3 linked regions of the Ovis aries genome follow. Each later gene encodes a partner of the first gene's protein in a complex. Links are inferred from orthologs where the notes say so. Each region holds a gene or a part of one and is shown on either strand. Other genes may lie near its edges.

Region 1 (3,355 bases):
AAAAGGGATAGTGAAAAAAAGAAAAGGAAAAGGAGAGTTGGTTCCTTTCAGGACTCTTCTCTCCTAGTCCCCACTCCCGTCTTACTCTGCACCATCAGCCAACCCACTGGCCCCTTTTCCATTCTCAGACTCACTTTGGCTGCACTCGCAATGTCCACAGCCTCCACGATGTCAGCCTGGCGAATCTTTGCCGTGTCCTCCCCATCCTCTCCTTCCAGAAACCTGCAAGTGAGCGTGAGAGTTGCATTAAAGCTTCCTAATAAGAAGTGGGTATCCCAGCATCACAATCAGAAATTAGAGCCCCATAAATCAGGGATTGGGGAGGCCCACATCAGGGTCCACTCACCCAGGTTCTTCAGCAAGCAGAAGCTCAGATCGAGCAGCTCTGACACTTGTTTCCTCTTCTTGTGCTTCAGCCACCGCAAGTCGGCTTCGTGTCTTGGTCTTCGCATGTGGTAGCTAAAACAGCGGTGAGAGATGAAGTGAGAGAAGGACCAAGGGATGCGGGGGTCACAGGAGAGCCCCGCCTCCATTCAACTCACCCAGACACTCCCTCCTGCAACCGCTCCCCACTCTCCGACTAGCCCTCACCTCCTTGGATTTGTCAATGCGACAGTACTTCCGAACCACCTCCACACTGACAGGGGCGGGGCCTGCAAATGGGTCCTGGGCCTGCGGCAGGGAGGAGGCAATTAAGAAACAGGCTCGAGCTGACCCCAACCCCCCGACCCTGAAAGCACAAGGCGACTTGCCTCGGCACCCCGGGAGGTCCCAGGCTCACCCCAGAAAAGGTCCGCTGAGGCCCCGGACTCTTCAGTTCTCGGGGTTTCTTGGAGATCCGAAACTTCTTTGAGGTGTCATTTCTCTTTGGCTTCTGGGGGCGGAGCTCTCGACTCCTCTTCCGTTTATGAGGGGGACCTGGAGAAGCTCCGGCCGCAGTCCCAGTGGTCTCTTGCTCCCAGTATCGCCGCGGTTTCTACCAACAGAGCAGGATCCCTCGTATTCCGCTGCCCTTCGCCCCGCCCCTCGAACCCCGCAAATAAAAACTTCCTTTCCACCCCAAGGAGATCCCTACCTTCTTCTTGGCTTGCAGTCTGTCCTTCTTGGGTGGAACATTACTGCCCGGCTTGGGGACTGTCTCCATCTAGCCCACTCGAACCACGATCCACGTGCAAACTCCTCTCCACAGTCCCACAGTGTGATGGAAAACTCCCGGAAGTCCTCCGAGACTCATCCAATCAGCGCCGTTCCAGGTCTGAAGCCTCCTAGGCGCCATCTTTAATGAGGGCGCGCTCCCCACTGAGGGGCGGGACCAAGGCCCCCAGTGCGGCAACTTATGCCCAAGTGATGAAAGACGGGCAGTCCGAGGCCAAGACCCAAGCAACCCTGCAGTTTCTTTTCCCATCTCGGTTTCTCCATCTTGCCTTAAATCCTTCCGCTTCTGGTCTTTTTAGCAGAACGCCACACATTGACCATATTAGAACTACATTTCCCGGCGTGCGCCGGCTCACAGCTTCCGGTGCCGTCTTTCCCCAGCATTCTCTATTTACTTCCGGGTTCACCAATACTGAAGTGAGAGCGTGAGTAGGGGAGCGGTTCGGCTGAGGAGTTCGGGGTACTGCCACTCCCTGAGGCTGGGGGTGAGTCGATATCCCGGACCAGGAGAGACTGCAGTGGGTGGCCCGAGGGGCTGCCTCTCAAGAGGGCTGTCACCTCCGCAGGCCAGAAAGGGGAGCCCGGGTACCTTCCAGAGCGTGAGACCCAGCGCCCCTCTCCCGCTGCCCGCAGGCTTTCGTCCCCGCCATGGCTGAGCTAATCCAGAAGAAGCTGCAGGGGGAAGTGGAGAAATATCAACAGCTGCAGAAGGGTAAGGGAGCAGGGTAGGGGTGACCTCGCGGCAATTCACTCACAACCTGTCTATACCCGAATAATGTATTCTGTCCCACCTCTGGCCCCAGCCTGCGGCTCCTTCCCCTTCTCTGTAGTCTTCCCATTCCCTGTCCCGCCTGCTCATCCTTGCCTGCTTCCTCAGCTCCGCCTTCTTACCAGGACTGTGGTGGTCGGGTGGCACATGAGATGTCTCTAAACAAACCTTTTCATCCGGCAGACTTGAGTAAATCCATGTCAGGGAGGCAGAAACTAGAGGCACAACTAACAGAAAATAATATCGTGAAGGAGGTGAGAGACTGAGATTTGTGGGGCGAGGGGGGACCTGTCTTGGAAGTGATTCTGATGTTTTTCCCACTCCTCCACCAGGAACTGGCCCTGCTGGATGGGTCCAACGTGGTGTTTAAACTTCTGGGGCCCGTGTTGGTCAAACAGGAGCTGGGGGAAGCTCGGGCCACAGTGGGGAAAAGGCTGGACTACATCACAGCTGAGATGTGAGTCTTCCTTCCACCCCACTGTGTTATACTTGATCCGTTGGGAATAAAGGTGCTGAGAAACCTTTCTAGAGTCATTCTCCAGAGCAGCCCCCATTTGAGCAGGTTCTTCAACTCCTTCCTGTGTCCTTCAACTCCTTCCCTTTTCTTCATACTCCCCTTAGAGCTCAAGTTTCTGACCAATCTTGTCTTCAGCACCCTCAAGAGTAAGTCTCACTAATTTCTCATTTGCTTTTTTGCCCTTCCTCAGTAAGCGGTATGAATCCCAGCTCCGAGACCTAGAGCAGCAGTCAGAACAACAGAGGGAGACCCTGGCTCAGCTGCAGCAGGAGTTTCAGAGGGCGCAGGCGGCAAAGGCAGGGGCTCCTGGGAAAGCCTGACCCTGTCCTGGGGGGGTGGGCGGGGGGAGGAATGCGGCAGCTCTAGGGTCTATACTGTAGCTAATAAAATGTGAAAATACCTGGCGTGTTCTGACCAGCCACTTCTGTTGTAACTGTCTCCATCCTTTCCTCTGGTCCCTTCTCCCTCACCCCTATATCACCTGCATTACTCTCTTAGATCCAAATTTGTGCACTGAAATTTGTGTGTGGCAGAGTAACCCTTCTTTCTTGAGACTAAACTCCGAAATGTCTCAAACCTAATCCTTGCCTGTACATGCAAGCCTTAACTCTCTCTTCTCTTGATTGGAAGCAACCAAGAAAAGGGCATTGACAGTGAAACAATTTGGGGGAAAGTTAAGTTTCATTGAAAAACTCACAATTCTCTAACCTGCAGTCCCAGAATGGAACATGGTAATCCTCTTTTGCTATGATTTCTTGTCATCCTCAGAATAGCCCTGGCATCTTAGTTCTTTTTAGTCTCTTTTCTTCCTAGACTTTGTTTAAATGTAGCTTAAATTGGATTTCATATCCCAGCACATAATGCATTGTGATATTCTGAGACCTCCAAGTTTGTACATTGTCCACGAAGTGGTT
Region 2 (4,326 bases), on another chromosome or scaffold:
CCCAACAGATTCCCCTGTCCCTGGGATTCTCCAGGCAAGAACACTGGAGTGGGTTGCCATTTCCTTCTCCAATGCATGAAAGTGAAAAGTGAAAATGAAGTCACTCAGTCGTGTCCGACTCCCAGCGACCCCATGGACTGCAGCCTACCAGGCTCCTCCGTCCATGGGATTTTCCAGGCAAGAGTCCTGGAGTGCTCTAAAGGCATTTAAAAACTAGTAAACAGATATAAAAATGTTAGTTAATATCCTTATTCTCCAATTCTTCCATTAGTGTAATCTTTACAAAACTTGTAAACCTAACCTTGCCACACCCTGCATAAAGCCCTTCACTGAAGTCCCATTTTTCTTACAAAAACAGGCACAAATCTTTTAAATGATCTACAGCATTTGCAAGGCCTCCTCTCTGCTGTTTTGTTCCAAAAGGAGATAATCTCTCTCCCTCATTGCTGAGCTGTTTCCTCTTGGAAATCTCAACTCCTAATTTGACCTACTTAGCTTTTACTCAATGCAAATCTGGTTTTCTGGTTTTGTTTTTACTCTCATAGAACCATGTGCCTTTACATTAGAGAATTCATCTCAGTTTGTGTTTTATGTATTGTTAGTTTGATTATTTAATTGATTCTCTCTCCCACTAGGAAAAAAAAACTCCATAGTAATCAGGGACATTGTCTGTCATTTACTAGCTGGAGAATACCAGGCAATCAACTGACACTTGTTGAAAGAATAATTGTTTTGGATTGTCTCCTCCAATTACATAGTAGGCATCCTAGTGCCTGCTTTGGCTCTGCTTGTATGACCAAGTATTTTACTATCTTGGACCCATTAAAAGACTCTCCACAGATAAAGAACTAATCTCAAAAATATACAAGCAACTCTTGCAGCTCAATTCCAGAAAAATAAACGACCCAATCAAAAAATGGGCCAAAGAACTAAACAGACATTTTTCCAAAGAAGACATACAGATGGCTAACAAACACATGAAAAGATGCTCAACATCACTCATTATCAGAGAAATGTAAATCAAAACCACAATGAGGTACCATTTCACGCCAGTCAGAATGGCTGCGATCCAAAAGTCTATAAGCAATAAATGCTGGAGAAGGTGTGGAGAAAAGGGAACCCTCTTACACTGTTGGTGGGAATGCAAACTAGTACAGCCACTATGGAGAACAGTGTGGAGATTCCTTAAAAAACTGGAAATAGAACTGCCTTCTGGTACTGCTAAGTCGCTTCAGTCGTGTCCAACTCTGTGTGACCCCATAGATGGAAGCCCACCAGGCTCCCCCATCCCTGGGATTCTCCAGGCAAGAACACTGGAGTGGGTTGCCATTTCCTTCTCCAATGCATGAAAGTGAAAAGTGAAAGGGAAGTCGCTCAGTTGTGTCCCACACTTCTCGACCCCATGGACTGCAGCCTTCCAGGCTTCTCCACCCATGGGATTTTCCAGGCAAGAGTACTGGAGCGGGGTGCCACTGCCTTCTCCAAGAACTGCCTTATGACCCAGCAATCCCACTGCTGGGCATACACACCGAGGAAACCAGAATTGAAAGAGACACGTGTACCCCAATGTTCATCGCAGCACTGTTTATAATAGCCAGGACATGGAAGCAACCTAGATGTCCATCAGCAGATGAATGGATAAGAAAGCTGTGGTACATATACACAATGGAGTATTACTCAGCCATTAAAAAGAATACATTTGAATCAGTTCTGATAAGGTGGATGAAACTGGAGCCTATTATACACAGTGAAGTAAGCCGGAAAGAAAAACATCAATACAGTATACTAACGCATATATATGGAATTTAGAAAGATGGTAACGATAACTCTGTATGCGAGACAGCAAGAGACACAGATGTATAGAACAGTCTTTTGGACTCTGTGGGAGAGGGAGAGGGTGGGATGATTTGGGAGAATGGCATTGAAAGATGTATAATATCATATATGAAACGAATCGCCAGTCCAGGTTCCATGCATGATACAGGATGCTTGGGGCTAGTGCACTGGGATGACCGAGAGGGATGGTACGGGGAGGGAGGTGGGAGGGGGGTTCAGGATGGGGAACACGTGTACACCCGTGGCGGATTCATGTTGATGTATGGCAAAACCAATACAATATTGTAAAGTAATTAGCCTCTAATTAAAATAAATAAATTTATATTAAAAATAACATTCAAAAAATAAAAAGAAAAAAAGACTCTCCACAAACAAATGCGCACTGCCCAGAAACGCCTCGAATTTAAACGTGAAGTTATAACGTCACCTCCAGGGACCTCGCACTGGACTGGGAGAAGGGTGGGGATGGCTGGAGGAAGGGACCAGCAAAGCAGGAATGAATTAGCCCGATGAGAATTCAGGTCTCGAACGAAAGCGTTTTACGTCGGAATTATTCCTCAGTCTGCGGTCAGATTCGCTACTCCCGCGCAGTTTCAGCACCGCTTTGGGGGGACGCTGGACAAAGGCTTTGGCAAAAAGGAACGCAGAACTCCCGCCCCCAAGATCCGCACTCCCCTCCAGGAGCAGTCCCAGATTTTGGAACTGGGAGGTCTCGACCCGGCACCCACCTCCCGCAGCAGCTTTAGGTCCCCTTGCTGGATCTCGTACAGCTGAATGACGCCGGTGCCCCGTGCGAAGTTGCCCATGGTCACAAATTTGGCGCTGCAGGGCATCCACTTACAGTCAAACACCGTGTAATTGAGGCTCTTCTGGATATGCGAGATGATCTGAGGCTTCTCAAAGGCCGACATGGTCCAGCCGAGAGATTTCGCCTCCGCCAAGCGGGACACAGCCAACAAACCCTGACGAAACAAACCTGGAAACCAGAGTCCAAACGTTACGGATAGTTTGTCCCTCCCGCCTGCCGTAGGCGCCCCTAGAAACCTAACAAGCAGTTTTAGGTTTCTCAGATAATGCCGGATGCTCTAGTGCAGGCCCACAAGAGTTTCCTTCCCCAACAACACAAACTTGTTATGGCTTTACCTAGTGCCTTTCGTACAGATACAGATTATGGGTTATAAAGCGCGCTGACTGCGAGAGGTGTGGGCAGAGGGCGAACCTAAGAATCAGGCATATTTTAGGACAGCCCTCCCTCCTCACCAACAAACACGCAGAAACTCCCGCTTTAGGTCCCCCGCATGGGACGTCTTAGGAAAGAGGGCGGAGCCCTGGGGCTGGTTGGCGGAGGTTGGGGGCCTGTGAGGCGCGCCTGCGCGGTACAGCCTCGCACGTGTTGAAGCTGGAAGCTGAGGTTGGGGCTGGAGGCTCTGGAGAATGGAAAGCGTGATGGAGGCACAGAGCCCGTTGGCCGAGGACGGCTTCAGTCAGGTCACCCGCAAAGGTGGCCGGCGGGCGAAGAAACGGCAGGCTGAGCAGCCGTCCACGCCGGAGGAGGGAGGCGACGCGACCTGCATGGACACCGAGGAAGCTCGACCCGCTAAGAGGCCCGTCTTCCCGCCCCTCTCCGGGGACGGGTTCCTGGTACTGGCTGGGACCGAGGAACAGGAACGGGGCTGGGGCCAGAGACGGGTCGGCCCGGTGGCCTCTGGGTGATGACGCTTTTTCTGGAGTGAAGCTCAGAGCGGCGACTCTCCTGGTGTTTAATCTGTCCAATTAAAGGAGGCTTTTTGAGGATCAGTTGTCGTTACAACTTCACCCTCATTCCTTTAAACAACTGCTGAGTTGTGTTTTCTTTTGTCGTAGAATGGGAAAGAAGAAACCAGGAAAATTCCAGTCCCAGCTAACAGATACACGCCACTAAAAGAGAACTGGCTGAAGATATTTACTCCTATTGTGGAGCATTTGGGACTTCAGATACGCTTTAACTTGAAATCGAGGAATGTTGAAATCAGAGTAAGGAGACTATTAACCACTTTAAAATATGCCGAGGTTTTTCTGTCCTAGGAAGAAAGAACAGACTTTCTAGGAATTCTTAGTGGGACTTACCTTGTTGAATGAGTTTCTTCCAGTTTGACCTGAAACTAAACTAAACTACCAGCTGCGTTTCAGCACATTTTAAAGTGTTCTGTGTTGATTGATTAAAGGGTTAATAAAGAGGTTATCGTCAATAGAAGTATGTAAATGAGCAGCCGAAGTACTTGCTGTAGTACAGATACTATATTTTAGTGTTACTTTTTAGGAAAAAATAAGTTTTGAGAGTAAGTGTAAATTACGTAAAAATATTTGTTTATTCATTCCATGATGTCAGTCTAGGAGGTGGACAATTAAAATTAATAGATGGGGTTTTTTTTCCTGTGGATTCCAATTGTGCATTCGAATCAGTGACCAAAATTAATTATATCTTCCATTTTAAGGATTCATTATCAGGGT
Region 3 (4,115 bases), on another chromosome or scaffold:
TTTAATTTCATGGCTGTGATCACCATCTGCAGTGATTTTAGAGCCCCCCAAAATAAAGTCTGACACTGTTTCCACTCTTTCCCCATCTATTTCCCATGAAGTGGGAAGTGATGGGACCAGATGCCATGATCTTCGTTTTCTGAATGTTGAGCTTTAAGCCAACTTTTTCACTGTCCTCTTTCACTTTCATCAAGAGGCTTTTGAGTTCCTCTTCACTTTCTGCCATAAGGGTGGTGTCATCTGCATATCTGAGGTTATTGATATTTCTCCCGGGAATCTATTCCAGCTTGTGCTTCTTCCAGTCCAGCATTTCTCATGATGTACTCTGCATAGAAGTTAAATAAGCAGGGTGACAATATACAGCCTTGATGTACTCCTTTTCCTATTTAGAACAAGTCTGTTGTTCCATGTCCAGTTCTAATTGTTGCTTCCTGACCTGCATATAGGTTTCTCAAGAGGCAGGTCAGGTGGTCTGTATTCCCATCTCTTGAAGAATTTTCCAGTTTACTGTGATCCACAGAGAGGCTTTGGCATAGTCAATAAAGCAGAAATAGATGGTTTCCTGGAACTCTCTTGTTTTTTCAGTGATCCAGCGGATGTTGGCAATTTGATCTCTGGTTCCTCTACCTTTTCTAATACCAGCTTGAACATCTGGAAGTTCACGGTTCATGTATTGCTGAAGCCTGGCTTGGAGAATTTTAAGCGTGTGAGATGAGTGCAATTGTGTGGTAATTTGAGCATTCTTTGGCATTGCCTTTCTTTGGGATTGGAATGAAAACTGACCTTTTCCAGTCCTGTGGCCACTGCTGAGTTCTCCAAATTTGCTGGCATATTAAGTGCATCACTTTCACAGCATCATCTTTCAGGATTTGAGATAGCTCAACTGGAATGCCATCACCTCCACTAGCTTTTTCGCAGTGATGCTTTCTAAGGCCCACTTGACTTCACATTCCAGGATGTCTGGCTCTAGGTGAGTGATCATACCATCGTGATAACCTTGGTTTTTTCCTAGATAATAAATATTAAGCGGTGTTTCTACTGAGCTTCTATTCTTCATAGTCACCACTAGGGGGCGCATATAATTTACAGTCTACTAGATGCCACAGGGTAAAGAGCGTTTCAACATCCCAACCGCTAGGGTCCGTTCGGGCCCCTAACTTGTGCGCACGCGCGCGAGTACTCCTAGCCCAGATCCGGCCTGCGCAGGCGTTCCAGTGAGCACGCAGACGCCGTTGATAGGACTCACCGGAAATTGAAAGGGAGGGGCTGGGCCGCGGGGAGCGCAGACGCGCAGGGGCTGCGGACGCGGAACTGCTGGGGTGCCGCCCGGCCTCGCGCCCTGCCTGTTTGCTTCTCCGCGGAGATGCCCAGCCGGGGTGAGCGACCCGAGGACGGCGCTGGGCCCGTCCCTGCTGAGAGCTCGACCCTGCACAAGGACGAGCTCAGCAGCAAGGTGAGTGCGGGACGAGGTAACATGGCCCTCGGGCTGCTCACCGCCGGAGACGAGCCTCGGTGGCCGCGTGCTCTAGTCTCGACTTTGCCCTGCTGCGAGAGGCACAGTTAAAGGGACACCTTGAAACTTGCCCCGAGATTAGACCCAGATGGTAGTAAGGCGGAAGTTTAGTTGGTTTTATTTTATCAATTTTTAACATATTTTAAAGTATCATACAGTAAAATTTGGCTCTTTTTCGTTTTCTCTGTATTTAACACGTGTCTAAATTTGTGTGACCACCGCCACAATTGGAATATAGACAAGTTCCACGACCCTGAAAGACTCCCTTTATAGGCATGCTCTCCCCCGCCCAGAACCTCTGGCCGTCCCTGATCTGCTCTACATCAGGACAGTTTTATCCTTCCCAGCACATCATGTAGTGAAATCACAGCTTATGCCTCTCCAAGCTTAATGTCTTTGAGATTCACGGTTGGATTTTTTTCTATGTATTCTTAGTTAAAACTTTTAGAAATTACCTCCCACCCTAGATCTGCTGCCTGCGGTCTCAGAAAATGTCAGCGCCATCCATGCAGTTGTCCATGCCAGTAACCTGGGAGCCCATCTTTGCATCCGTCACGAAGTTCTGTCCTTTGTAAGGTGTCCCTTTATCACTGTGTACACTTTTAACCATCTTAAACCCGCCCCTTGCATGTGCCATAGGGAATCCTGCAAAAGTTTCCTAACTGGTCTCTCCTTAGCCATTGTTGCCTTCTTCTCCCCTATCCTTCATTTAGCTGGAGCGGAGAAGGCAGTGGCACCCCACTCCAGTACTCTTACCTGGAAAATCCCATGGATGGAGGAGCCTGGTGGGCTGCAGTCCATGGGGTCGCTAAGAGTCAGACAGGACTGAGCAACTTCACTTTCACTTTTCACTTTAATGCATTGGAGAAGGAAATGGCAACCCACTCCAGCGTTCTTGCCTGGAGAATCCCAGGGATGGGGGAGCCTAGTGGGCTGCCGTCTCTGGGGTCTCACAGAGTCGGACACGACTGAAGCGACCTAGCAGTAGCAGCAGCAGCATGCTCCTAAAAATGTTATTTCATTGTTGCTCTTCTGCTCCTCCCCTCACAAAAGGGAGCCAATATAAGGCCATAAATGGAAAAAAGAAAAAAAATTTTTTTAACATTTGAAATGAGGATGGCTATAATCTTTCAGGTAATAGATGTCTAAGATAATACTTTGGTTCTGTCCCAAACTGACACTGGCATCTTGGGCACATCTCTGATTCCTCTGTTACAGTTTCCTTGTCTGAAGTTCTAAAGTATACCTACCATTCCTAAAATGAATGGGAAAGTGCTATTCAAACATAAGCCTTAAAAGGAAGTTGTACAAATTCAGTCTTGGAATTCAACTCAATCTCTGTAATCAGTCACTACAGTGACTGGCAGCTGGAAAGCAGAAGGGTACACATCTGTGGGGAATGAATTTTCAGACTGCACACAGCCTGCTCTGATTCCTACCATAGCATGCCCTTTACTCTTGCCTGGTGGGCTCCTCCATGGGGTTGCAAAGAGTCGGACACGACTAAGCGACTTCTTTCACTTTTCACTTTCATGCATTGGAGAAGGAAATGGCAACCCACTCCAGTGTTCTTGCCTGGAGAATCCCAGGGACGGCGGTGCCTGGTGGGCTGCCATCTCTGGGGTCGCACAGGATGGGACACGACTGAAGCGACTTAGCAGCAGCAGCATGCCACTTATACTGATGTATGACAGATCCCCAGGCATCAGAGGTTACAAAATAACACTGTTTAGAGGCTATGGTGACACTGTGTAATCAATCATGTTTGCAGTATCACTATCATTACTGAAAAGAGTTTAAAAGAAATTTAGTTTCCATTTAGTTGAGCCCTGCTACTGCTAAGTCACTTCAGTCGTGTCCGACTCGGTGCAACCCCATAGATGGCAGCCCACCAGGCTCCCCCATCCCTGGGGTTCTCCAGGCAAGAACACTGGAGTGGGTAGCTATTTCCTTCTCCAGTGCATGAAAGTGAAAAGTGAAAGTGAAGTCGTTCAGTCGTGGCCAACTCTTAGTGACCCCATGGACTGCAGCCTACCAGGCTCCTCTGTCCATGGGATTTTCCAGGCAAGAGTACGGGCTCTTATTGAGCATGCTTTGATAATCTCTGATTTAGTACGTTTTCTTTATTTCAATAGATTAAAGAACAAAAAGTTGTTGTGGATGAACTTTCTAACCTGAAGAAGAACAGGGTGAGTTATTAGCATTACTCTGAATACTATGTGGGAGGATTTGATATCAACTGTATAAATCTATGTATTAATCATAGTTGCTGATAATCTTTCCCCAACATATGCAATTGACATTACCTGCGAATCAAATGATACTGATTGTACTATGTTATCCTGGAGCTTTAGTCAATAATGGTATTTATTTTGTACTTGAATTTGGTGTATTCTTTTGACATAAACATTGAATCTGTTGAGAAGAGGAGAAGCTATACAAGTGAATGTGGATAATTATTTTTTGTTTGTTTATTTTTTAAAAAAGATAAATGCTACCACCTCCTCTCCCTACCTCCTCAGGTTTTTACTCCAAGCTTCCAAATCCTTAACGTGGTTATTTAACTCCATTTTCATTAATGTATTTATAGATAAGCAAGCTT

Evidence for each region.
Region 2: PFDN6 (region 1) and DNAAF10 share a complex: the UniProt entries of both Homo sapiens proteins name them as parts of the PAQosome complex. The link is inferred for Ovis aries from reciprocal best matches to the Homo sapiens genes PFDN6 and DNAAF10.
Region 3: PFDN6 (region 1) and ASDURF share a complex: the UniProt entries of both Homo sapiens proteins name them as parts of the PAQosome complex. The link is inferred for Ovis aries from reciprocal best matches to the Homo sapiens genes PFDN6 and ASDURF.

The regions. Positions count from the first base shown.
Region 1 is NC_056073.1:7,615,215-7,618,569, forward strand, and holds PFDN6 (prefoldin subunit 6), read left to right. Parts: upstream 1-1,548; 5' UTR 1,549-1,580; exon of another isoform or gene 1,581-1,640; intron 1,641-1,721; 5' UTR 1,722-1,803; coding exon 1,804-1,867; intron 1,868-2,107; coding exon 2,108-2,178; intron 2,179-2,256; coding exon 2,257-2,381; intron 2,382-2,631; coding exon 2,632-2,761; 3' UTR 2,762-2,841; downstream 2,842-3,355. Other genes in the region: WDR46 (WD repeat-containing protein 46), read right to left, coding at 135-222, 347-459, 592-672, 782-976, 1,076-1,144. UniProt on the Homo sapiens protein: Binds specifically to cytosolic chaperonin (c-CPN) and transfers target proteins to it. Binds to nascent polypeptide chain and promotes folding in an environment in which there are many competing pathways for nonnative proteins.
Region 2 is NC_056056.1:40,164,437-40,168,762, reverse strand, and holds the start of DNAAF10 (dynein axonemal assembly factor 10), read right to left. Parts: upstream 2,847-4,326; 5' UTR 2,748-2,846; coding exon 2,565-2,747; intron 1-2,564. Other genes in the region: RNA-binding protein PNO1, read left to right, coding at 3,271-3,477, 3,700-3,849. UniProt on the Homo sapiens protein: Key assembly factor specifically required for the stability of axonemal dynein heavy chains in cytoplasm.
Region 3 is NC_056055.1:119,676,089-119,680,203, reverse strand, and holds the start of ASDURF (ASNSD1 upstream open reading frame protein), read left to right. Parts: upstream 1-1,284; 5' UTR 1,285-1,363; coding exon 1,364-1,453; intron 1,454-3,648; coding exon 3,649-3,702; intron 3,703-4,115.